4 linked regions of the Saccharomyces cerevisiae S288C genome follow. Changing the gene in region 2 together with the main gene of any one other region gives a genetic interaction. Each region holds a gene or a part of one and is shown on either strand. Other genes may lie near its edges. The genes, in order: UBC8, YOR1, HXK1 and AVO2.

Region 1 (4,432 bases), on a different chromosome or scaffold from region 2:
AAAAAATGTAGGAAAAGCCTGCCACTTTTATACACCATAGATAGACTCATGTCGTTATTGGAAAATGGAAAGCCTTCCTTGCTTCCTTGTTTCCTTGTTTGCTGGTGTCACTTGGCTCGACTACCTTTACCGTTGCAACAGCCCCTTGGACAAAGCTTATTTGGCCCCCACGAGAACGCGGGGAAAGATGATGCCGTAATATAGGCAAAAAGGGGTATTGCGGAAGAGATAGTGAAAGCTCATCAGAATACAAAACATTATTGCTTTCTGACTATCACATTGTTGATGAGTGCCCTGCCCTTCCCCTGGATGACAGACTACAGAATTCACCGTTCAGGAACAAGAGCAAAATTGAGCCCGCAGGCCACTAGCCCACAGAGATCCTTGTAGTTGCTTGATAGTTGTTTGTAATTATAGTCGTACGTGTGGTATAGTATGCCATCATATATACTTATACATACATACATATATATATATATATATATATGTGTGTGCTCGAAATTATTGATTTGCGACTTCGTCGTAGTCATCGTCATCACTGACATCTATGTCACTTAGATCCTCGCTTAACTCATCTACGCTATCATCGCCACTGGAAACACCAGTGCCATCCATATCTTCATCAGAATCACTGTCCTCTTCTTGTAAATCACCGCCGCTATCACTGTCATCGCTATCATTATCTCCGCCAAACATTTGTTGGTACTTTTCCTTTGTAGCATACTTGTCTATATACTCTTTGATTTTTTCCTCATACAGTTTTTTATCTCGTAATTGCAATGTGGCAGCTTCGTTATTCAAGGGATCGCTACCATTAGGCTCCTTTAATAAACCTGGTATCATCCACTCCACTATATTTATCAGATCATATAAAGGCGACCATGTAGAGTTAATTACGTCCAAACATATGGACCCCGATGCGATATCAATGTTAGGATGGAATATCTTGTTAACGAACCCTATGCTTGGCGACTTGTATGGGTAATTATCCGGCAACTCTACATGTAACCTCCAAACCCCATTTTCGTAGGGTGTATCCTTTGGTCCCAAGAACTTTACATGAAACTCTTGCATGCTATCATTGATTAAATCCACTTGATGATCACTCATCAACAGTTTCATAACATCTGTCTCGATCCTTCTTTTAGAGCTACTGTTTCATTAAACGATATCTTTGAAGTTCATTGACATTTTCTTTGTTAGTGATCCTCATTCTATGGCATACTTTCTCAGAAGAGTGATATATAAATATACGTATATATCTTATCAAACATACCTCATCTTTCGTATTACGCTCCTTTCTTCCAATATTCCTTATGAAATACTATTAATATTTTGCTCTTACTTCTAAATTATATTCGAAAACTATCTCGCTTGATAATTACGGATTACACTATTTATCAAATGTGGCAGAACTGGAAATCCTACCTATGCTTTACGTTAGTGATACTTAAGCGCAGATAGCTGTTTCCGGTGCTCACCCTTTTTTTTTTTAATTCCACTGCTCCGGGAGCATTACCCGGTGGACGAAGCTCAACCTACTATTATTAAATAAGAAAACGTAAGAATGTATATTTACGCAGATGTGCACACGAGCATTGAAACAAGGATTAATGTGCCACTGATAGAATTCAGACTGCTGTGTGATTAAGAGGAAAACAAATTATCGTGAAGAATCGTTGATTCGCCTTTATATATTCTTGTATTCTTTAAGAGACATGCATTGCGATAATTTCCCCATGATATTCTTAACCTTATGAAGGGTCAGTCTACTGGAAGGTGCATGAAATATGAGTGAACGTATTTTCATTAGCAGATGAGAGACACCGGGATTAAAAAAACTATGTGAAGAATAGTGTTGATATATGATAAAATTATTGTGGAAATCAATAATTAAGAGGTTTTATAGTGTAGTGGTTATCACTTTCGGTTTTGATCCGAACAACCCCGGTTCGAATCCGGGTAAGACCTATTTTTTTCCCCCGCTCAGCTAACTTGTATTTTTAATAGATCTCCCACCATCAGAGGACGAAGAGAGAACTGTATTATCAATTGTGTTTTATTACAATATATTCTAAAAACGAAGATATAGATGTTATCTAGAATTGGTTTTTGTATGTAGCCCTTCTCTCCCGCTTTCTCACTTTTTGAACATTACCTCACTACAGTTGCCATTCAACAATGTAACGAACATTATCCGTAGGTAAAATTTACGACACTTCAAACTTCTAGAAGGAAATAGGCATATACTACGGAACAAAGACAGCCTCTTATTCGTTTTTAAGTTTTTTCTTCTTTTATTAACAAAAAAAAAAATAAAATAAAAAAAATCAATTGAAATTAGAATAGAGTAGAGTAGGTAGAAGTAATATGATGTAAAAAAAGGAAACAAAGATTAAAAAGATGGAAGAAATGGAGAGAAAGAAAATAAAACTTCTGAGAAGAAAATTTTGATAAAAATTATAATGCCTAGTCCCGCTTTTGAAGAAAATCAATGTAAAAATTGTAAAATCTGTTGAGTAATATTATACAATTCCAAACTTGCATCCTCTACAGGTTGATGTTCAGATCCTGTGTCATTGTTATTACTGTTGTTATCATTCGAGCTTGGATTGTTGTTGCTCCCCGGATTTTTAACATCAATTCCTGATCTTTGTAAACGCTCAAAGGTCACATCTGCCATTTTTCTCACTCCGTTAATGATGTCGTCATCATTTTTAACCAAATCTTCCACTTTATCATTATGACTTTCTAGCAATTGTAAAATTGTCCATAGCGCAATGTGTTCAAAGGTAGCATAGTCACTTTTCAAAAATCTAATCAGAAATCCACGAATGCCTTCATTCGGACGATCCCATGCTTCAATAATTTTTGTATAATTATTCACTCTTGAACATAGATTTGCCAAAGCAGCAGCAGCATTACCAGAAACTTCTTGGTTCTGGGAAAAAGTCATAGGGATTAAAGCATCTAAGATATTTGCTTCCAGTAGATCCAATTTGGAGACATCTGCTAGGGCTAAAATAGCAAAACATGCGGAAATTTCACTTTGAACACTAACAGGTGAATCTAGAGCCAGTTCCTTACATTTTTCGACAGCACCACTTTCGAAGAACTCTTTTCTGTTTTTTTCAGATGATGCAGCCAAATTTCTCAAAGTAGATACGGCGTGACATTGAATTTCTTCTGAATCCTTATAGTCCAACAATCTTACTAATGGTTTTAAGAAACCTGCATCAACAATTAAACCTTCATTTAGAGGGTGAATAGAAATGTTTCTAATGCATGCCACACTAGCCAAAACCAGTGGTATAGAATCACTTTGAATCAACTTTACCAAATGAGGCAACCCACCAGCCCTTACAATTTCTAATTGGTAGCTTGTATCGGACGCTAGGTTTCGTAAAGCCAAAGTAGCTTGACATTTTACCCTTGAAGATGGAGAATCCATCAGACTAACCAATTTGGAAACCAATCTTGGCTCAGTTTGAGCCAACTTCTTGCGATTGGCTTCATCCACTGCTATATTTGATAAAGCAGTAGTACAATAGTACTGAACATCAGGATCGGTGGACGACAGTAAAGATACCAATACAGGCACAGCACCTGCATTAACCAATTCTTTTCTATTTTCCTCAGAATGTGTCATATTTAATAATGCACCTGTAGCATTTCTCTGAACTCTTATATGTTTGGATTTAGCTAGCTTAGTCAATGGAATTAAAGCACCAGAAGTAGCAATCTTATGTTTATTGTCATCCCTTGTGGCTAAATTGGTAATGCATCCAACAGCATTACATTGAACTTCTACATTGTCACCCATCATTTGGTTTATTAATGGCTCTAAGCCTCCCATTTCCACAATTAATAATTTATTTTCATTATTAACGGCCAAATTACCCAAGGCTGCACAAGCGGCCACTTGAATCTGTGGATCTTGGCTTTGTAATAATATTAAGATGGGTTCCAGTACCTCTCTAGAGACCTGACGGACGTATTTTTCAGTAATTTCTGCGAATGCCAGAGCGGCGCTCCTTTGCAAATTTAGATTATCTGAATACACCAAAGTAGTTAGGGCCTTTAGTGGACCACCAGAGTAAAAGTCTAATTGGTCTTTATCCTCCAAATACCCTAGTAATAAAGTCACCGCTTCTCTTTCATTATCGGCAATTGGTGAGACACTGGCCTCGTCTGAAGAATCTTTCAAGCAACTACAACATGAACCCATAGTTGCAAATGTATATATAGTACAGAAGAAAGAACACCCTTATAGTTTGCTCAGTTCCTGTCTTCGTAGGATTGGAAATTGGCTAATTGCTTTTTATAGGGTTGTATAAATATATAATACCTTATTTTAACAACAAAAGGAAAAGTAGGAGATTGAACAGCGAGTCAACAAAAAAAAACAGAAAGCAAAGCAGACTCACACAAA
Region 2 (8,249 bases):
TGCCAAAAATTAAAGAATCCACTGTTGCTGGTTTCTTGGTTGGTTCTGAAGCCTTATACCGTAACGATTTGACTGCCTCTCAATTATCAGACAAAATTAATGACGTCCGTAGTGTCGTTGCTGACATTTCCGATTCTGACGGAAAGTCATACTCTGGTAAGCAAGTCGGTACTGTCGATTCCTGGAATGTTTTGGTTGCTGGTTACAATTCTGCCGTTATCGAAGCTTCCGATTTTGTTATGGCTAACGCGTTCTCCTACTGGCAAGGTCAAACCATGCAAAATGCCTCTTACTCATTCTTTGATGATATTATGCAAGCTCTACAGGTTATCCAATCTACTAAAGGTTCTACCGATATTACCTTCTGGGTTGGTGAGACCGGTTGGCCAACTGATGGTACCAACTTTGAAAGTTCTTACCCATCTGTTGACAACGCCAAACAATTCTGGAAAGAAGGTATCTGTTCCATGAGAGCTTGGGGTGTTAACGTTATTGTTTTTGAAGCCTTTGATGAAGATTGGAAGCCAAACACCTCTGGTACCTCTGATGTCGAGAAGCACTGGGGTGTTTTCACTTCAAGTGACAATTTGAAATACTCCTTGGACTGTGACTTTTCATGAACGCTTTAAAAATACTCTTTAAACAAGAATGGCTTTTTCCTTCTGTTTAGGTGAGGAATAAGCAAAAAGTAACAAAAAAAAATGTTATCCCTTCTTTTCTTCCTTATTTAGGCTTTATTTTATCTTTCACTTCTTTTACGTATTTGAAATATCCTTCGGTTTTAGGATTTTCACTTCTAAGTTTTCTATTTTATGCCTTCCATTTTAAATTCGTATTTTGTGTATACTTTATTCAGTAAACAGACATCCCAATAAGTTCTTTGAATATCTTCTGAAAATGATGTATAAATATATATTTCTAGAATGAAAAAGGACCGAAGGCGTTGTCCAGTTTGCCTCATAAAAAATGAAATGTTCTTTTCGGAATTTTGAGTATACAATGTGGGTATGCAATTATATCTATCTATGGCACACATAACTTTTTCTGCAAGTCATAGTAGTGGGTTTTCTTTTCTAGTACTAATTTGTACCATCGGCAACATATAAATAAATAAAAGAGAAAAATCATGCAACAAATAATATAAATTAACTTCTGTTCTCGAAATCATTTTCCACAATACCAGATCTAGAACACATGCTTCTGAAAATACTATCTTCTTGACTAAACAACGTCCATGGTGTATCGAATTCTGCGACTTCACCCTTCTCTAAAACAAGAATACGATCATAATTTACAATGGTCTTCAGTCTGTGAGCAATACACAAAATTGTACAATCTCCAAATTCCTCAACAATACGTGTTTGGATTTTGCCATCCGTTTCGTAGTCCACTGAGGATGTAGCCTCATCCAAAATCAATATTTTTGATTGGCGGACCAATGCCCTTGTTAATGCTAATAGTTGTCTCTCACCTAAGGAGAAATTGGAGCCCTCTTCTTCCACTGCTTGATCTAAATGGAACTTATGCATTTTACCATGAGTACCATTTTCATCAGGTTTTTGCAATTTCACTTCCGGCAAGTCATCCTTGGCGATAGCACCACCTCTCACCAATGCATCCCATAATTCGTCATCTGTACGCTCATTAAATGGATCTAAGTTCTTGCGAATCGTACCCCTAAATAATACTGGATCTTGTGGAATGATGGCTAATTTTCTTCTTAAATCGAAAAGTCCCAGCTGACTTATATCAACATTGTCAATTAAAATTTTACCTGCGGTCAATTCATTCAACCTGTAAAGGGCACTCATAATAGTGGACTTACCAGCACCTGTACGACCACAGATACCAATTTTTTCCCCACTCTTGATATTCAAGTTAAGATTTTTTAAAACTATAGGTAAACCAGGTCTATAGGCAAAATCAACATTTTCAAAAATTATTTCGCCCATTGAGGGCCATGACTCTGGAGGTGTCATTTCGGGCTTTCTATAGGATGCCTCTAGTGGTAGTTCAGTTGCATATGTTACCAATCTTTCGGCACTATTCATGTCATTCTCTGTTTGAGTCATTGCCCTTAAAATGGTATTTAATAGACCAGGCAATTGTAATACATAAGTCAACAAAACACCAACTGAAGCCGCGGAAATAGGAAAGGCTCTCGTAACACACAATAACGTAATAATTAGTGCAAATGCGATAGCAACCATATCAAGGAAAATACCTACCCATCTTTGCAGGACAACTACAAGGTATCCCGCCTCATTCATCTTGTTGATCAAAAAATCTGATTTCGCCAAAAATCGTTCCTGACTTCGGTATGCTTTGATTGTATCCATCCCACCCAAAACTTCATTTAAATTATTGTAAACAAAAGACCGTTGCACAGCTTCAAGTCTTTTAATTTCTCTACCAGAACTCTGATAATGATCAGCAATCAGAACAAAGATGACCAAAAGAAACGGAATTGCGATAGCAAACCACGGCAAGTAAACAATACACATGACGCAAACACCTACAATATTAGCAAATTGAGATGTCATCAACCGTAAACTTTCGGTTAACTCATTATCTAAGCTATCTGTATCTTTTGTGAATCTGTTCAGAATACGTCCCAAAGGTGTGGTATCTATGTATGACATTGGAGTGTGTAAAATTCTTTTCACAGCCCTCAAATTTAACCATTTCGATGCCATAATACCCATTGCGCAAAGTATGGTGAACTGGCCATTCATGAATATGAAAGCAGCAAACACAAAGAAGGAGTAAAGACCCATATAAAAACTGGGTGGTCTGTTTTTGAATTTATTCTCAGTCCAGTAAGATAACCAAACGGAAGAAAAAAGTGAGCAGAATGTGGTTCCAACGACTAAAATTGCATACAACGGTAGTGCGATAAAACCCCACTTACCTACTGCAGCTTTAATGTATTCACGGTATATTTTCAGACTGATACTATTGACTGCTCTTTCTTCTTTACTACTAGTATGACCATCCGCTACAATTTTACCACTATTTGCAGTTTGTGACATTTCTGTAGCCTTTTTCTTCAGTTCAGTCAATTCCTTTACCTCTGATTCATATTTTAGTTGTCCCAATTCACCGGCAACAACCGCTTCCTGTTCTTCATCCTCTTTCTCCGAATTTTGAGAAGAGAATTGTAAAAGATTTATCAAAGTTTGATTACGAGCTTTTAGCTCATCAACAGTACCAATATCGACTTGGCCATCAGTACCTAAAACGATGACTCTAGAAGCTCTCTCAATCAGTGACAATTGATGCGTTGCTAAAATTCTGGTTTTATTAGCAAGCATTCCGGTTAGACATTCATCCATGATGTGTTTACCAACACGAGAATCGACAGCACTTAGGACATCGTCGAATAGATAAATATCCTTCTTCTTATAAACAGACCTGGCTAAATTGATACGTGCCTTTTGACCACCAGATAAAGTAATACCACGTTCCCCAATTTCGGTCATATCGCCTGCCGGTAAAATATCCAGATCAGCTTTCAAAGAGCAAACACGAACTACTTCATCATACTTTTCTTTATTGAATGGTGAACCGAATATGATGTTATCTCTTACAGATGCATTTTGAATCCATGGATAACCACACATTAATAAGTCCCCGTTGACTTCAACCTTACCATCAGTTTTTCTCATTGATCCTGCCATCGCATTCAATAATGAAGATTTACCAGTACCAATAGGTCCCGTAATCATAATAAATTCGCCCTTTTTAATATCGAAGTTCAAGTCCTTGAAACCCCTAAACGAAGTTTTTTCTAAATCTTCCGGGCCGTCTCTGTCTTTCAACATATTGTCCAATCTTTTCGCCTTATTAGTACTTGCAGATGGCTTACCCCATGTATCCTTACGCTTTTTTTTGTTCTTTTTACCTTCATCTTTAGCTTCTCCTTTTGCTTCTTCAATAGCGTCGTTTAATTCATAATCTTCCCACTCAAATGAGCAATGTGTCATTTTTAAAGCCAATTTTGGATCAAAGCCAGGAGAAGGCTTCATTTCAATCATCTGATTTGGATCATCTTCTGGAGCCTCCAATAAGCTTTGCAAACGGCCCAATCCAATGATCATGTCAATTCCAGTACCAATAGCAATAGGTAAGAAAAACATTTGCAAACTCAAGACCTGAAATAAAGATAAAGAGGCAAAAATATTACCAGGTTGCCTGCCTCCTTTATTAACTTTGTACATTGCAAGGAAAGTGACCAATGAAGCAATACTAGGCAAAGACATGGCCATAGCAATCAAGAAATTTCTTGATAGTTGCATTTTTCTAACTTTAGAAATCTCTTTGGTCCTAATATCTTGAATATTTTTTTCATACGCATCCTCCCACGTATAATATTTAATCATTTTTATATTATTCAGCACTTCTCTCATCATGGTAACTCTAGCATCAGTGAAGATGTTCGCAGCAATTCTAAAGCCCAGAATTAACTTAAATGCAAATAAGGATATGAAAAACCCACCGAAAAAAATACCAATCCCAACTAAGGCAATGGGTCCAAGGTTAACGATCAATAAAACAATGCAAATAGCCAAAATTGCAGGGAACCCAGCCAAAAACGGCTGAAAAGATAAGGCAAATTCAATTCTAGCGAGATCTGTTGTTACAAAAGAAGTCACTTTACCGTTAGGAAAACAATGTCTCGCATAATTAGATGCATTAAACATTTTCTTCATGGCAGCTTTAGTAAGAATAGACTTAGCTTGCACACCAGTCAGTTGGGATGTATGAAAGAAATGGTTGAACGTCAACCCGTTAACGAACATCATCAAACATGCACCAATAGCGTAACCAATACCTTTGTTAACATGCATGCTATGAAAAATAGCCTTTTCTTCGACAAACTCAATTAGCCTCTTGGTAATCATGGGGTTAAAACCGGATGTACAATTAGCGAGAATTGCAAACACTATCGACATGAAGTACTGTTTCTTAAAAGTGAATAATAAAGCTCTCAGAACTGTATGTTTAGGTAGTTTGGCATTTTCCATAACCTCTTCTTCTGTCGCTTCTGGATGTCTTTTACGGTATTTTTTCCTCGTCTTCTCAAAATAGTAAATCATGTTTTTTTCAAAGTCGTCATAAAGGGTCTCTATAGACATCCTCGGATCCATTTTGAAGAGATCGTTCGGCTGTATCGTTCTCTTATAACCAACTCGCAGGATGGGTAGAACCCACCAAAAAAACATGTTAGAGATAATATTTGTATGGAACAGAGGATATATCTTCCTCTCGTCATCGGTTTGTGGTACTTCTGGAATTTTCTTAGAGTGCAAGAATGAAAACAGACGTTTCTGAGGGAAAATATCAGATTCTGTCACTTTTTCGATATCATCGCTATTCAAGTAGGTTTGGGGCTTATTTCTGTCCACAATATATTCACCTGTAGGCAGCAAAGATTTGTCATCCCAAGAAGACGATGTGTCCTTATCAACATCTGTGCTTATGTCTGAAGAAGCAGATGCCTTGGGAGATAGTACCACGTTTTGACTTTTGTTTTCCAGCTCCGTCTCCGAAACTGCATCCCCCACGGTAATCGTCATATTCGTATATAGCAACGGCTTTACTCTTTTTGAATATAAAAACAGTAATATTAATCTTTTTCCTCGTTCGTGACACTACTCAGAGGGCACCTGTAAGGAGAAAAAGGTATGGAAATGCGTTCTTCCTGTTCTTGTATAGCGCAAAAAAAGATATACACGCGGAGAGCTGTTCTACCTCCGTATTTATACTAACTGGAACAAAAAATATTTCAGTGACACCTTCGCTAGCTACCTCTGACAGATGTGTAATAAATATATATATGTATGGTAATCATTTAAGGGACAGCAGATCTATTTGTAGGAAAAATATTGCCACTTTCTTACCTTGGCTTTTTTCATTTCCACGGGTGTTAAATCATGTCCGTCATATTCCCGGCAAAATTTCCGGCTATTTCCACGGAACCACGCGTTATCTTCATACAATAGCACATGCCAAAAATTACAACAAAAGCACAGAAGCAAAAGAAAAAAAATGTGCCATTTCCGCCTCGCGGTGGGGAGGAAAATAGAAGCGCTTATCGCAAGCATTTAGTAGAGAACCGTGGATAAAAACGCAGCAACTAAAGAAGGCGACTAATAAAAATTGAGTATGCCTCTCCTTAGCGTAAACAGTAACTGCGTGCTATAAGGTGGCACTAAACTTCCTTCTTCCCCTTTCTATCGGATTTGTGCAGCCAGGAGGGATACCAGTGACGGCTATAGCGGGAGAAAGACGGGCCCTCTCACAACCCTTTGCCCCTTGCGGTTAGTCATATAGATTTTGCTTGTGAAGAGAACTGGTCGGTTCAAAGATGCTTTCTTCAAAGTACTATAGCCTTGCCCACTCTCTTTCTCCCTTCTGATCTCTTGTATGCTGATTTTACTTTAATAAGTGAAGGTGATCAATCAGTCAACTAACAAATTAGCCGCCACTGCAAGGATATTTTCTCTGTCGTTGTTGTTTTCCTACAAATATAAACAACCGGGTAACAGTCAAAGAAAAAAAAAAAAAGAAAAGGAAAAAAAAAAAATATGAAAAATTTTGTTCTGAAAGAAGCGATGAGATGAGTACTCAATAGTAACATATAGGCAGCTTACACCATTAAACAAAGAAGCAGAATGGGTTTGGCAGCTACAAGAACCAAACAGCGGTTTGGTTTAGACCCCAGAAATACGGCATGGAGTAACGACACCTCGAGATTCGGGCACCAATTTCTAGAAAAGTTTGGATGGAAACCCGGTATGGGTCTGGGGTTATCCCCCATGAATTCGAACACTTCGCATATCAAAGTGTCAATTAAGGACGACAACGTTGGGCTCGGTGCTAAATTAAAACGTAAAGACAAAAAAGACGAGTTTGATAATGGTGAATGCGCAGGGTTGGATGTCTTCCAGCGAATTCTTGGTAGGCTGAACGGAAAGGAAAGCAAAATATCAGAGGAATTGGACACGCAGAGAAAGCAGAAGATTATTGACGGAAAATGGGGTATCCATTTTGTGAAGGGTGAAGTTTTAGCAAGCACGTGGGATCCAAAGACTCACAAGTTAAGAAATTACTCCAACGCGAAGAAACGAAAGAGGGAAGGAGACGATAGCGAAGATGAAGATGATGACGACAAAGAGGATAAAGACAGTGATAAAAAGAAGCACAAGAAGCACAAAAAGCATAAGAAAGACAAGAAAAAAGACAAGAAGGACAAAAAGGAGCATAAGAAACATAAAAAGGAAGAGAAGAGATTGAAGAAGGAAAAAAGGGCGGAAAAGACCAAAGAAACGAAAAAGACGTCAAAATTAAAATCTAGTGAATCTGCATCCAATATCCCCGATGCGGTAAACACAAGACTATCGGTGCGCTCCAAATGGATAAAACAAAAGAGGGCCGCGTTGATGGACTCCAAGGCACTGAATGAGATCTTTATGATAACAAACGACTAAACATTCCATTGCGTTTCATTGTGTGAGCAGCTGGCCAGTCTGCACACGCAGCAAGATATATAGAGTGGGGAAAAATTCTTCCCCGGTGCCAAAGAAAAAAGCAAATAAAAATGAAAAAAAAAAATGTGTGCCAGTACGACAGCATACCGCAACGAGTTTTTACATACATGATTAAACTAGTAAGTAATATTATAAGTATTTATTGAACTTATTGCGCCACGACTTCTGCCCCTGCAAAACCTTCAGCTTTATTAGGTGGGTTTGATGGAAGATAGTAGAGCAAGTGGAAAGCATAACATCGCTAACGTCTTCCACACCCTCCATAAAGCCGCTGCATGAATGATAAACGGGCTCAATTCGTATCAGTGTAACCAAATCCATCAATTAACGCCCAATCGAGCTCGTTAACTCCATTTTGGGAAAGAATCAAGATGCCTAGCCCGGCCTAATCGAGATGCATCCACAAACGACCCTGCACGGTCATTTCCCAGAGGGTTTTGTAATTTGTAGGCACCGCTTTTCGCGCGACACCCTGCTGCAATAGGATCTTCTCCCTAGAAACACGCGCAACGCACCTCTTTTCCCTTTTCGTTTAGCCTCTCCAAATGAGGAAAATAGGCACATGATTCCTTTTCACGCGCATTTTTTTCAGAAATTTTCTCTTGTGGTGTTGTTTCAAAAACGGCACCGTTGTTTTTGTTTTTTTTTTTCTGTTTTCTCCCATTCCTCGAGGAGAAGATCTCTGTTTTATAAAAC
Region 3 (5,621 bases), on a different chromosome or scaffold from region 2:
GATTAGTCAATCCATAAAATACATATTTTCTGTTTCATCTGGAAATAATACACAATTGACCAGTAAGGAAGCACTAAATACATTTTTTGATTCCTCAGCTAGCACAAAACTTACAATTCAAATACTTATAAGCCATCTTTACATCGATTGTATAGTGAAAGGGCAACTAGAACTCCATTTTGTGAGCTTCTCGATGATGAGCTTTTCAGACAGCAGCAAATCTAAAGGCCATTAACTAAATCAAGTTTCAGTGCCACTATCCTCACTTTGAGCTCTAAAATTGCATTTAGAGGACACTTCCTTATCTCGTTCTCGATTCAAAGGCCTTCTGAAAACTTCAGTAATGTCTGTATGCAAACAAGTAACCTGACTCCAACACTTCTGGATTTTAGCACTGCAGCCCAAAACAGTGCACCCAAGGAAACTTTAAATTCTATTTAATTTTCGGATGCGTTTAGTCAATTTTCTACTAATACCGCCACTCCTAATATAAGTGGTTCTTCCAGTCAAATTTTCAATCATGCTTCTCCCAATCTTGTAAGTAATGTTATCGTACAATGGAAAAGTGCATCAGTCCGTCTATCGTCATTCACATTCACACCAGCATTTTCTAGCGGTGTTAGTACTGTAACATTACGATAACGTCACTCAATATTTATTGAACACATTAGATGCAGAATACTTTACCCGTGGTTCATCTAGCTTCTTCGAAAGCGACAGTAGCAAATCTGAACCTCAATCCACGGGCGTTTTAGTTGCTTCTAGCCAATTCTCAAATGATTCCTTCATAACCTATTTGGACCAGGTATTCACTAGTACCACAACTCCAGTCAGTGCTTTTAGTAAATTTTCGCATACCCCCACTATTGGTACCTCAACTACTGTAGCTAGTAAAACTTCTGATATATTCAATTCATCATCTCTCAGCATTGTTAGAACGGTTGCGCACAAATAGCAGTACTCAACATGTATCTAGCACATTAGCCACAGAATACTTAGCCGCTGATTCATCTATTTTGTTCGAAAGTAAAGATAGCAGGTTTGCATTACAACCAACTTACACAAATCACAAGTATTTTTGGCGATCCCTCAAGCGATTCCCGCCTAATCCGTTCTAATTGGATCTCGACTAATATCACAACTTTAGCAAGCTCCATCAGCAAAATTGCACATATCATTGCAACCAAATCTTTGATTGATTCACCGACCAGCATTCAAACGGACACTGTTATTGTAGTATTTATTAGCTCAAGGGCTGTCACCCCTATAAACTCTAACATTATTTCTGGCCCATTCTTGAGTACTTATTTCCTCTTCTCAGGATACAAGATCTTGTACATTAGTTCCCTTTGTCTTATCCGACTTGTTCGCAATTCTTTAGGCTCAATGGCTAGCTCTAGCCAATTGTCTGCTCAACCTGCTTATACTACCTTAAACGATTTTACTCCGGCCAATCCTCCTGTGCAATTGTCAGACAGTTTGATTCTGTCAGTCATATTCTGACCTACAATTTGACGCTTTCGCCTTTTAACTCATTGAGCAAAAATAATACCGTCATTACAACACATCCAACAATCGAAAAACTGGCTAGTTCGACCACTAAAATGCTAAGGCATAGTTCTAGAGTGCTTCCCGGGTTTCGGATAAATCAATATATTAACAAAGCGAGCCACTTCACCGTCCTCTTTTGAACCCAAAGCTTCTAATATATTCTTCACTTTAACTACTTTCATGACTATATATAAAGAATGGACAATCGCTTTCACAAGCACATATTTCACCAAGTATCTACACTAAATGTCAACAACGTTAGGATGGTGGAAGAGCAATTAATGATTTTAGTACCCTGGTGTCCATTCTCCAGACCTGGCGCCGTGGATAAAACTACGAAGACGTTTGTGGCATCTTCGTTGTTGGACATCCATACATAAGTCGCTTCTGCTACTGTTAAACATACTTCTGTGCCCATAGCGGATAATAATATATATACAAGGAATATCATCGGGCGTCTAAGTTTTGGCATTGAATTAGTGTTTGGTCTAACTAGAGGTACTGATGTAGCCGTCACACCAGGATTTACCAAAATCGTAATCTCTACCAACAGCACCAGTGCAACTCCGCAGAACACTACAGCCGGGACCAAAACACATGAAAGCGGTTCGCTTCCAGCACCAAAAGCTACATCACCTATTCCCGGAGTTATTCTTTGAGCGCACTTCTTTTTAATAGTACTACTTTCCGGCCATTGAATTATGCCGAGAGCTGACAATTTAGTATATTACTGTATATCTAGTTCATTCTTCAAAATAAAGAATGCATAACCATTTTTTTATGTTTTTTCCGGAATTGGCTAAATTCACAAAAAAAAAGAGCATAAAGCGAATTGAATTGTCTCGCCAAGAAAACGCACTGAGAGGACGATTGATCCTCCAGACAAGATCGGAATTTTTACTTTTCTGTTTTTAACAATCACTCATGTGCATTGCACCTTACACATGGCGTTCCAAAGGCTTACCTGGTGTGTTTTCTTCCATGCGCGATTCCGTGCTCACCGCGGCTTCGCCTATATTCTACCTGTACTCTACACGTTTATTGTTAAACAACCCCGGAATATCTTCCATGCCAGTTGTTTCAGGAACAAAGCCCGTGTTGCAAAAAAAGAATGGCGTGGGGTGGGGTGATTATCTAGACCATGGGATGCAACTAGGAAAGTTAAAACTCACCTAGCAAACTGCTGTAATTTCCGCTTCAGAAAACAAGCTCGACTTTTACCCCACGAAGCCTAACCATCGAAAGTAAGACAAAAATTAGCAACCGAAACAGACGGTTAGAATTTTTCTTCGCTGCAGTAAAAGCATTGGCGCCCAGTATTCTCCTTGCACCTGGTCTTACCTCGAACTTTTCTTTTTACATCTTTTTCATTTTTTTACTTTTACCCCGCATCCTGCAAACCCCGGAAATTTTATTAGGAATAATTTATTTCCCGGTTGGAAATAAACCGGAAAAATGAAGATTTAGACGCTTTTAAGGAGTACGTGTTCCTGTCGTTTATCCACTAAGTATACTGGTTGCCCCTGGCCAGATCTCAGTATAGCAGTGACGCGTGGGTTTCAGGAAGAATGGCAGTCCCCTTTTGTTTTTCCGCATTGTGTGAGCTTCTTATGCCCCTGAACCCCACTATTCTGCCCCTTTGAAACTCCCGCACGTGTGCCCCGTTTGTTGGAAGATAGCGAAATACCTTACTGGAGCAACCAGGAAAAATACTCTGGTTGCAAAAACCAACAAAAGAAAAAATGGAAGACCTAAGAACTATGCATTTTTTTTTAAGGGGTTGATGAAAAGAAAAAGTTTCTTTCTCCCCCCGGATTTTGGTACCTTAGGACCGTTGAGAGGAATAGTAACAAGTGAACGCAACAAAGATTGTTCTCAACTGCTTCTGTTTCCTCCTTTTCTTTAAAGAGGAATATTTCGTATATAAGCAATCGGTTTCACTTCCTTGGGAATATTCTACCGTTCCTTCATCTTGTATTCTTCTCTTTCTCTTAGCGCAATATATAGCAGAAGAGCAATAAGAAACAATTGTGGCTTGCAATACTCAATTAGAATTCTTTTCTTTTAATCAAACTCACCCAAACAACTCAATTAGAATACTGAAAAAATAAGATGGTTCATTTAGGTCCAAAGAAACCACAGGCTAGAAAGGGTTCCATGGCTGATGTGCCCAAGGAATTGATGGATGAAATTCATCAGTTGGAAGATATGTTTACAGTTGACAGCGAGACCTTGAGAAAGGTTGTTAAGCACTTTATCGACGAATTGAATAAAGGTTTGACAAAGAAGGGAGGTAACATTCCAATGATTCCCGGTTGGGTCATGGAATTCCCAACAGGTAAAGAATCTGGTAACTATTTGGCCATTGATTTGGGTGGTACTAACTTAAGAGTCGTGTTGGTCAAGTTGAGCGGTAACCATACCTTTGACACCACTCAATCCAAGTATAAACTACCACATGACATGAGAACCACTAAGCACCAAGAGGAGTTATGGTCCTTTATTGCCGACTCTTTGAAGGACTTTATGGTCGAGCAAGAATTGCTAAACACCAAGGACACCTTACCATTAGGTTTCACCTTCTCGTACCCAGCTTCCCAAAACAAGATTAACGAAGGTATTTTGCAAAGATGGACCAAGGGTTTCGATATTCCAAATGTCGAAGGCCACGATGTCGTCCCATTGCTACAAAACGAAATTTCCAAGAGAGAGTTGCCTATTGAAATTGTAGCATTGATTAATGATACTGTTGGTACTTTAATTGCCTCATACTACACTGACCCAGAGACTAAGATGGGTGTGATTTTCGGTACTGGTGTCAACGGTGCTTTCTATGATGTTGTTTCCGATATCGAAAAGTTGGAGGGCAAATTAGCAGACGATATTCCAAGTAACTCTCCAATGGCTATCAATTGTGAATATGGTTCCTTCGATAATGAACATTTGGTCTTGCCAAGAACCAAGTACGATGTTGCTGTCGACGAACAATCTCCAAGACCTGGTCAACAAGCTTTTGAAAAGATGACCTCCGGTTACTACTTGGGTGAATTGTTGCGTCTAGTGTTACTTGAATTAAACGAGAAGGGCTTGATGTTGAAGGATCAAGATCTAAGCAAGTTGAAACAACCATACATCATGGATACCTCCTACCCAGCAAGAATCGAGGATGATCCATTTGAAAACTTGGAAGATACTGATGACATCTTCCAAAAGGACTTTGGTGTCAAGACCACTCTGCCAGAACGTAAGTTGATTAGAAGACTTTGTGAATTGATCGGTACCAGAGCTGCTAGATTAGCTGTTTGTGGTATTGCCGCTATTTGCCAAAAGAGAGGTTACAAGACTGGTCACATTGCCGCTGACGGTTCTGTCTATAACAAATACCCAGGTTTCAAGGAAGCCGCCGCTAAGGGTTTGAGAGATATCTATGGATGGACTGGTGACGCAAGCAAAGATCCAATTACGATTGTTCCAGCTGAGGATGGTTCAGGTGCAGGTGCTGCTGTTATTGCTGCATTGTCCGAAAAAAGAATTGCCGAAGGTAAGTCTCTTGGTATCATTGGCGCTTAATGAAAAAAATGTAATGAAATATAAATGTGTTTTTCCCTCCCTTAATATTATTATTCTTATGAGTGATGCCCTTATGTTTTTTTTGCGGTCTAGTATATGTAAATATAGACACACACATATATATATATTTATGTGTATAATCCTAGCTAATAAACATTTTTAGATTGTTATTAGTATAATTTTTTCCACTTACTTTGTTCTCCGGGAGAGAAAAAGTTGTTTATTTTGTAGTAATTTTGTGCACATATTATATATACAAATATTACACAATATTTTCAATACTTATGGCATAATCCATTGCTTTTTCGATAATGTTTGTCTTTTGGTCTTCTTCATGCATCATTTCATCTTCGTAATCAGCTTTCTCCTTTGATTGGTTATTGAAGTAAACTTTCGAGTTGACAATAGGCCAGTTTCTCTCTAGTGCAAATTTTTCAGTTTCTTTTTCGTTGTTGAAAAAGAGCAAAGCCTTTATGTTGGAGAGAGGGAGAAAGTCGTAG
Region 4 (5,344 bases), on a different chromosome or scaffold from region 2:
TGCCGTACATAATGCGCGAGGCCCGGCGATACTTGGCGCCCAGGTGCTTGTCTATCAATTGCACACAGGCGTCCAGCACTTGGTCGCCGCGAGATTTGTGCAGCTTGTAGTTTATACACTTGAGGCTGTCAACGCTGTCAATACTGTCAGTGTCATCTTCGGGGATGTAGATAATCTCCCTTTCTAAAATAGCGGTGGTGAAGTTACCGTTTCCATCTGTATCCTTGTGCTCGATGGATTCAGGAAATTTTTCCACGCATAAGTTTAAGAAATGTTGGAACATTGGCGCCATGGCGACCCTCCTTCTTTCTGTTAGGTGCTCCTTCGATGTTCGTATACAGTTGTAAGTGTTCTCACTATATACCGAAGAACGCATCTCAGTGGAAAGAAAAAGAAAAAAGAAAAAGAGCTAAGAAAAAAATCTTTTAATGGCGCGCGCGCACCGCGCATACATATGTGGAAAAAAGGATGCATATAAAAAAAAATACGTAGTAGTCTTCTCAATCTTCTGCACGCGTGTTATTGCTATTTCTTAATTTTGAGATGGGTATGTTCAGAAGTGACACTCGTCTCCTCGGCTCGCCATTGTTTACCTTAATCTTGTACTTGTTCTCGTTCTCATCGTCCGGGTCCTTTCTTAGTCCCATTCCTATAGTGGCATCACCGCCATTGCCGCCGCCACCGTCATCGTTGATTGTAGCTGTCTGTGAGTCTCCTCTCACGTTGTCATTGCTCTTGTTAGGCAACAAGTATCTATTAATCAACGCGATGTTGTTGTGCGGACTTGTTGGTGTTGCACTGTGTCGTACTGATTCAGATACAAGCTCTTTCTTGGGCGACACACCTACTGGAGTCTTGACGTTGATGGAGTTCACTCTTAGTCTCGAGCTGGAATTTGAGCTTGACGAAAAACTGTCCGTAGACAAGGTTGGTTTTCGTGGGTTGAATACTGGATTTGTGATAGAACTCCTCCGATTCCCACCGTTACCGCTTGTTGTATGCGTTGATATCCTTCTTGGTAATACCGGCAACGGACTATTATTGGAATAGAGCGAATATGGCGAATTCATGCTTAAAACTGGGGAAGGCCCGTCCTCGAAAGTGGCCTTCGCATTTAGTATAGGAGTTCTGAATGAACTTGGTTTTTTGCCTGCACCCAACGGTGGCCCCTTCTTTTTCACCTCTTTTAACACTTTTGAATATATATTACCTACTTCAAACGTTTGTGCTACATCTATTGGCTTCCAATTTCCCTTGTCCCTGACATTATCATCCAAGGACACCTCACCTTCATTGAGAAGCATCTTCATACAACTTATACTGCCATACTCCAGGCATACATGCAGCGGCGTGTCGCCATTAGTGTCCATTACCCATAAATCAGCACCAACTCCTATCAACAGACTCAGACATTGGTAGTAATCGTTCATACATGCTATATGGATGGGGGCTCTACCATTCTCTCCGCGATGGTTGATAAATCGCGGAAATTGTTGCAAAAGTAAATGTAAGGTTTGCTCGTGCCCTTTCATTAATGCTAAATGCACACAGGTGTTTCCTTTAAAGGTTTTTATTAGTTCATGCTTGTCGTGCCCCAGCTGAATTAAATACACGCATATAAGGTATCTTCCATGGTATGAGGCGTAATGTAATGAACTCCATCCGTTCTCTGAGTCTATGTTGGTTAGCAAATCCGGATTCCGTCGCAATAATCTTTTCACTATAAGTAAATTGCCTTCAATAATAGCCTCCCGCAAGCGAACTGAGGGCTCTTTCAACATCTTTTGTTCAATATATCCTCTTTTCTAATGGGCGTTTTTTTTTTTTATTTTTAGGGTCCAGTTGATTTATACATTTTCAATTGTACCAGATCAAAAAAGTCTAGAGGAAAAAAACGTAATTAAGACAGAAGAAAAAAAGTATCAACTCCGGAATAACCGGGCCGCAAGAGAAATCAAACAATTAGTTGCACGAACATTTTTATCAGGAATAAGCAGGTAAGGGTAGGTATAAAGGTCAGCTCAGTACACGTATATCGTGTGAGTTATCTTTATTAAAATAATGATTCCAGAATAAGCGATGAGAGAGTAACGCTATTGGAATATGATATGGGAAATATCTTGAAACAATTTCAATAATTTGTCCATGTTTATGCAGTGTTGTACAAGCGTTTTTAAAGAAACTGTATAATATTCAAGATAGCGGGCGCCTCAACCGCTGTTTTGCTCCTCTTTTCTCTTGGAACTCTTGCCAAGAAAGATGTACGCCTTATAAAACGCTAGATGCTATTTCTTGCAACTTTATTACAAAATTTCAGCACTATTTCTTGCAATCCTAGATGTTTCCCTGTCTTCTATCTTCGATGTTAATTTAGACGTTTCTTCAAAGATTCAAGTTCTCTTTTATTGTACTATGTGTGGCAAAAAAAAAAGAAAACCAAAAAATGCAAAAACTAAGATAAATCTACGTACTGCGAAGAATAGCAAGGCAGACTAATAAGCGCACAATACAATGCCTATGGTTACCGTGAAGTATAACTTCCAACTTTTCAAATGTAAAGTTTCGTTGAATTCAACACTAAACGATGTGTTACACCAATCCATACAATTCTTTCAACTGCACACCTCGTCAAACGACTGGTCATTGATACATTTGGATAAACCGGTGCCATTAGATTTGCCATGGAGGCTTCTAAACTTACCAACGGGTGTCAACTTAGAATTATCTAAAAGTAGTAATTTTCCGGTGGCGAATAAGACCAACCGCGAAGATATTCCATTCAATACGATCAAAATACGGTTTCAAATCCCAGGAAGAGATTCCGTGGTTAAAGAAATGCCATCTGACCAACCAATTGCCCCTATCTTGCGACAGATGAGCGGCGCTGCGGGAGATGATTTTAAGATCCAGGTCTTTTCCAAGATAATAGAGTTCAAAACAATTAAGGATGAGAATTTGACTCTCGAAAATTTAGGGATTCAGGAGCCTTCGTCAGTTAGATTGATTTTTAATAATACATCTCATTCTGAGGGCATTAGCGCTAATAGCGCTATTCACCCAAAACAAACTCCCCCTACGATGACGAACCCGGAAACGGTTGCTTCACTACCACCTCACGAACTACATAAACCTTCTGTGTTTTTGCCCTCGGATGAGCCATTAGCAGTTATCAAGGATCAAATCGAGGATGAAGAAGATTATGAATTGACAGTAGAACAAGCCAAGAAATACCAAAAAATGTTATCATCGAAGGCTGGTACTTTGGGTGGTCCTATTTTGACAAAGAGACTTAGAGAGCAATCAGCCAACAACTTGCCAAAGAAAAATAAGGCTATATCTGAGTGTTTGCTGAGAGTCAAGTTCCCCGATAGAAGCCATATTCAAATAGCATTCAAACCCAATGAAGACATGCGTACAGTTTATAACGTCGTGTCGCAGTTCCTGATCGATGAGAACATGCCTTTTACGTTAAACCAATCTCATCCTTTCAAACCCTTGGCTAAAGACGATAAGAAGCTACTGGATGACCTGGAATTTGGCTCTAAAACAATGCTGCTTTTTGAAACAAATTCAAATTCTAATGGCCCATTAATAAAGGCTCATCTTTTGGAAGACGCACAAAAAATCACACACGAAACGAGGACAACCCCATCAGTTAATACGATAAATAAATCCAATCCACAGGGCCCTTCTGATAACGCTACAAGTATCAAAAAGACTTTAAATAGAGTACCTAAATGGATGAAATTAAGTAAAAAATAAATACAAAGCTAAACAGTCTCCTCTTTTAACTTTATTACAAATATGTACACGTATAGCTAAAATTATATAAAATGCATCCGTTTTTTTAGGCTTTTATCTTTAACTTATTTACATCTTCTATTAATTCTTCGAGTAAAGTAAACTCTGTTCCTAATTCTTTAAAAGCATCTTCTACCATCAAGAAAGTAGAACAATCACTTTTTTCCTTCCATTTTATAAAGATCAAAATCTCCCTGATCAAATGGGATATTGTATTCTCTTGATTTGTACCCTGTGGAATGTTTTTTAAGATTGACTCATTATTCATTAGCTCCGCCTTCCGTAACTTGTACTCACAAGCATCTTTACTGATGTTACTAATATCTCGTAAATATTGTCTTTTCAAACCCTTTAGAATATACATACTCAAATCGTAATCAATATTCAAGTCAAATTTTTTCGTTAGAAACGTTAATATGGCAGGTATTGCTTCTAAATCCCCGCTTTTCATGAACGTGGACACAATTAATTTAGAAAAAGTTTTGTCTGGCAAAATTTCACCATTTTCTGCCGTCATTTGGAACAATACTCTTGGGTGACAAGTTGGGTGAATCTTTATCTGCCTTTTTATTAATTTCTTTACAATGGACGACTTTTTCGATAAAATCCTAGAATTATTTTGTAAAACATGATAATAATGGCAATACACAGACCAAATCTTGTGGTACAGCGGTTTTGTTATGATGCGACGGTTGTAAAATCGGCAAGGGTTTGAGGTGGATAATGAAGACTCAGAGCTCACCTGTTGTTTGGATTCAAGTAGCGGATTGATGATCTCAAAACTTGAATTAAAGTCATACATGCTATCATAAAAATTGAGTATTTCTCTCAAAAAAACAGCATTTGGGATAACCTCTGACTCCTGCATTCTTTTTAAAAGTGACTTCACTTTCTGCTTAAATTCCTTTTTTCTAAATGAGGGCGTATTTTGTGCCTTCATATTTTGAATTTGAAGACTATAAAATTCAACAAATTTAGCGTAATGATATGCATTAACTTCCGAATAAAACTGATTATAGAGTAAATCTGGATCTGTTTTTGATTTCTTTGAGGCTTCTTCTAGTTTTTTTAAGATATTATATGCTTTTTCTTCTTCACCTGTACCGAGAAGTATGTTCAACAAGCCATTAAACTTTCTGGAACGTGACACACTGTTTAATTCCATCCACTGTCCAGAAGCCTGTTTAGTAATGAACTCTTCCAGAAAATCAGTTAATACAATACTTTTTGTTAAGGCCGAAACATTCTCAAACAGCAATTCATTGTATATTGGAGAATTAGTGTTATACTTAGTAATAACGCTCTCAAATGCCTCTTGCAACATTTTCACATTATTCTCAGGCACTACATAATCTTTATTTTGAGCAAAAATGTTTCGTAGCTTTTCAAAATCTTTCAACATATTTAGCTTGGTTTTAACAAGTAGAAATGCGGCATCTTCTTGTGTCGTTCCAGGTATTTCCATGTACTTGCTGATAAGTTGAGCCGCCATGGGAATATTTCTCTTATAAAGATGGAAATCAACAATGCTGATATAATCATG

What was found.
Region 1: mutations in YOR1 (region 2) and UBC8 together harm fitness more than expected from each alone (negative genetic interaction), as found in Saccharomyces cerevisiae (2 studies listed by BioGRID).
Region 3: mutations in YOR1 (region 2) and HXK1 together harm fitness more than expected from each alone (negative genetic interaction), as found in Saccharomyces cerevisiae (2 studies listed by BioGRID).
Region 4: mutations in YOR1 (region 2) and AVO2 together harm fitness more than expected from each alone (negative genetic interaction), as found in Saccharomyces cerevisiae (2 studies listed by BioGRID).

What each region holds. Positions count from the first base shown.
Region 1 is NC_001137.3:128,621-133,052, reverse strand, and holds UBC8 (E2 ubiquitin-conjugating protein UBC8), read right to left. Parts: upstream 1,282-4,432; coding exon 1,277-1,281; intron 1,154-1,276; coding exon 502-1,153; downstream 1-501. Other genes in the region: protein anchor VAC8, read right to left, coding at 2,492-4,228. UniProt on the Saccharomyces cerevisiae protein: Catalyzes the covalent attachment of ubiquitin to other proteins. Required for the adaptation to the presence of glucose in the growth medium; mediates the degradation of enzymes involved in gluconeogenesis when cells are shifted to glucose-containing medium.
Region 2 is NC_001139.9:1,050,154-1,058,402, reverse strand, and holds YOR1 (ATP-binding cassette transporter YOR1), read right to left. Parts: upstream 5,580-8,249; coding exon 1,146-5,579; downstream 1-1,145. Other genes in the region: BGL2 (glucan 1,3-beta-glucosidase), read left to right, coding at 1-620; PXR1 (telomerase inhibitor), read left to right, coding at 6,678-7,493. UniProt on the Saccharomyces cerevisiae protein: Functions as a pleiotropic drug pump at the plasma membrane to clear toxic substances from the cytosol. Organic anion transporter involved in the detoxification of a wide range of toxic environmental organic anions that contain carboxyl groups.
Region 3 is NC_001138.5:253,092-258,712, reverse strand, and holds HXK1 (hexokinase 1), read left to right. Parts: upstream 1-3,663; coding exon 3,664-5,121; downstream 5,122-5,621. Other genes in the region: proteasome regulatory particle lid subunit RPN12, read right to left, coding at 5,384-5,621. UniProt on the Saccharomyces cerevisiae protein: Catalyzes the phosphorylation of hexose, such as D-glucose and D-fructose, to hexose 6-phosphate (D-glucose 6-phosphate and D-fructose 6-phosphate, respectively).
Region 4 is NC_001145.3:402,741-408,084, reverse strand, and holds AVO2 (Avo2p), read right to left. Parts: upstream 1,782-5,344; coding exon 501-1,781; downstream 1-500. Other genes in the region: NAT4 (N-terminal L-serine N(alpha)-acetyltransferase NatD), read right to left, coding at 1-376; UBX4 (Ubx4p), read left to right, coding at 2,512-3,762; SOV1 (Sov1p), read right to left, coding at 3,848-5,344. UniProt on the Saccharomyces cerevisiae protein: Component of TORC2, which regulates cell cycle-dependent polarization of the actin-cytoskeleton and cell wall integrity.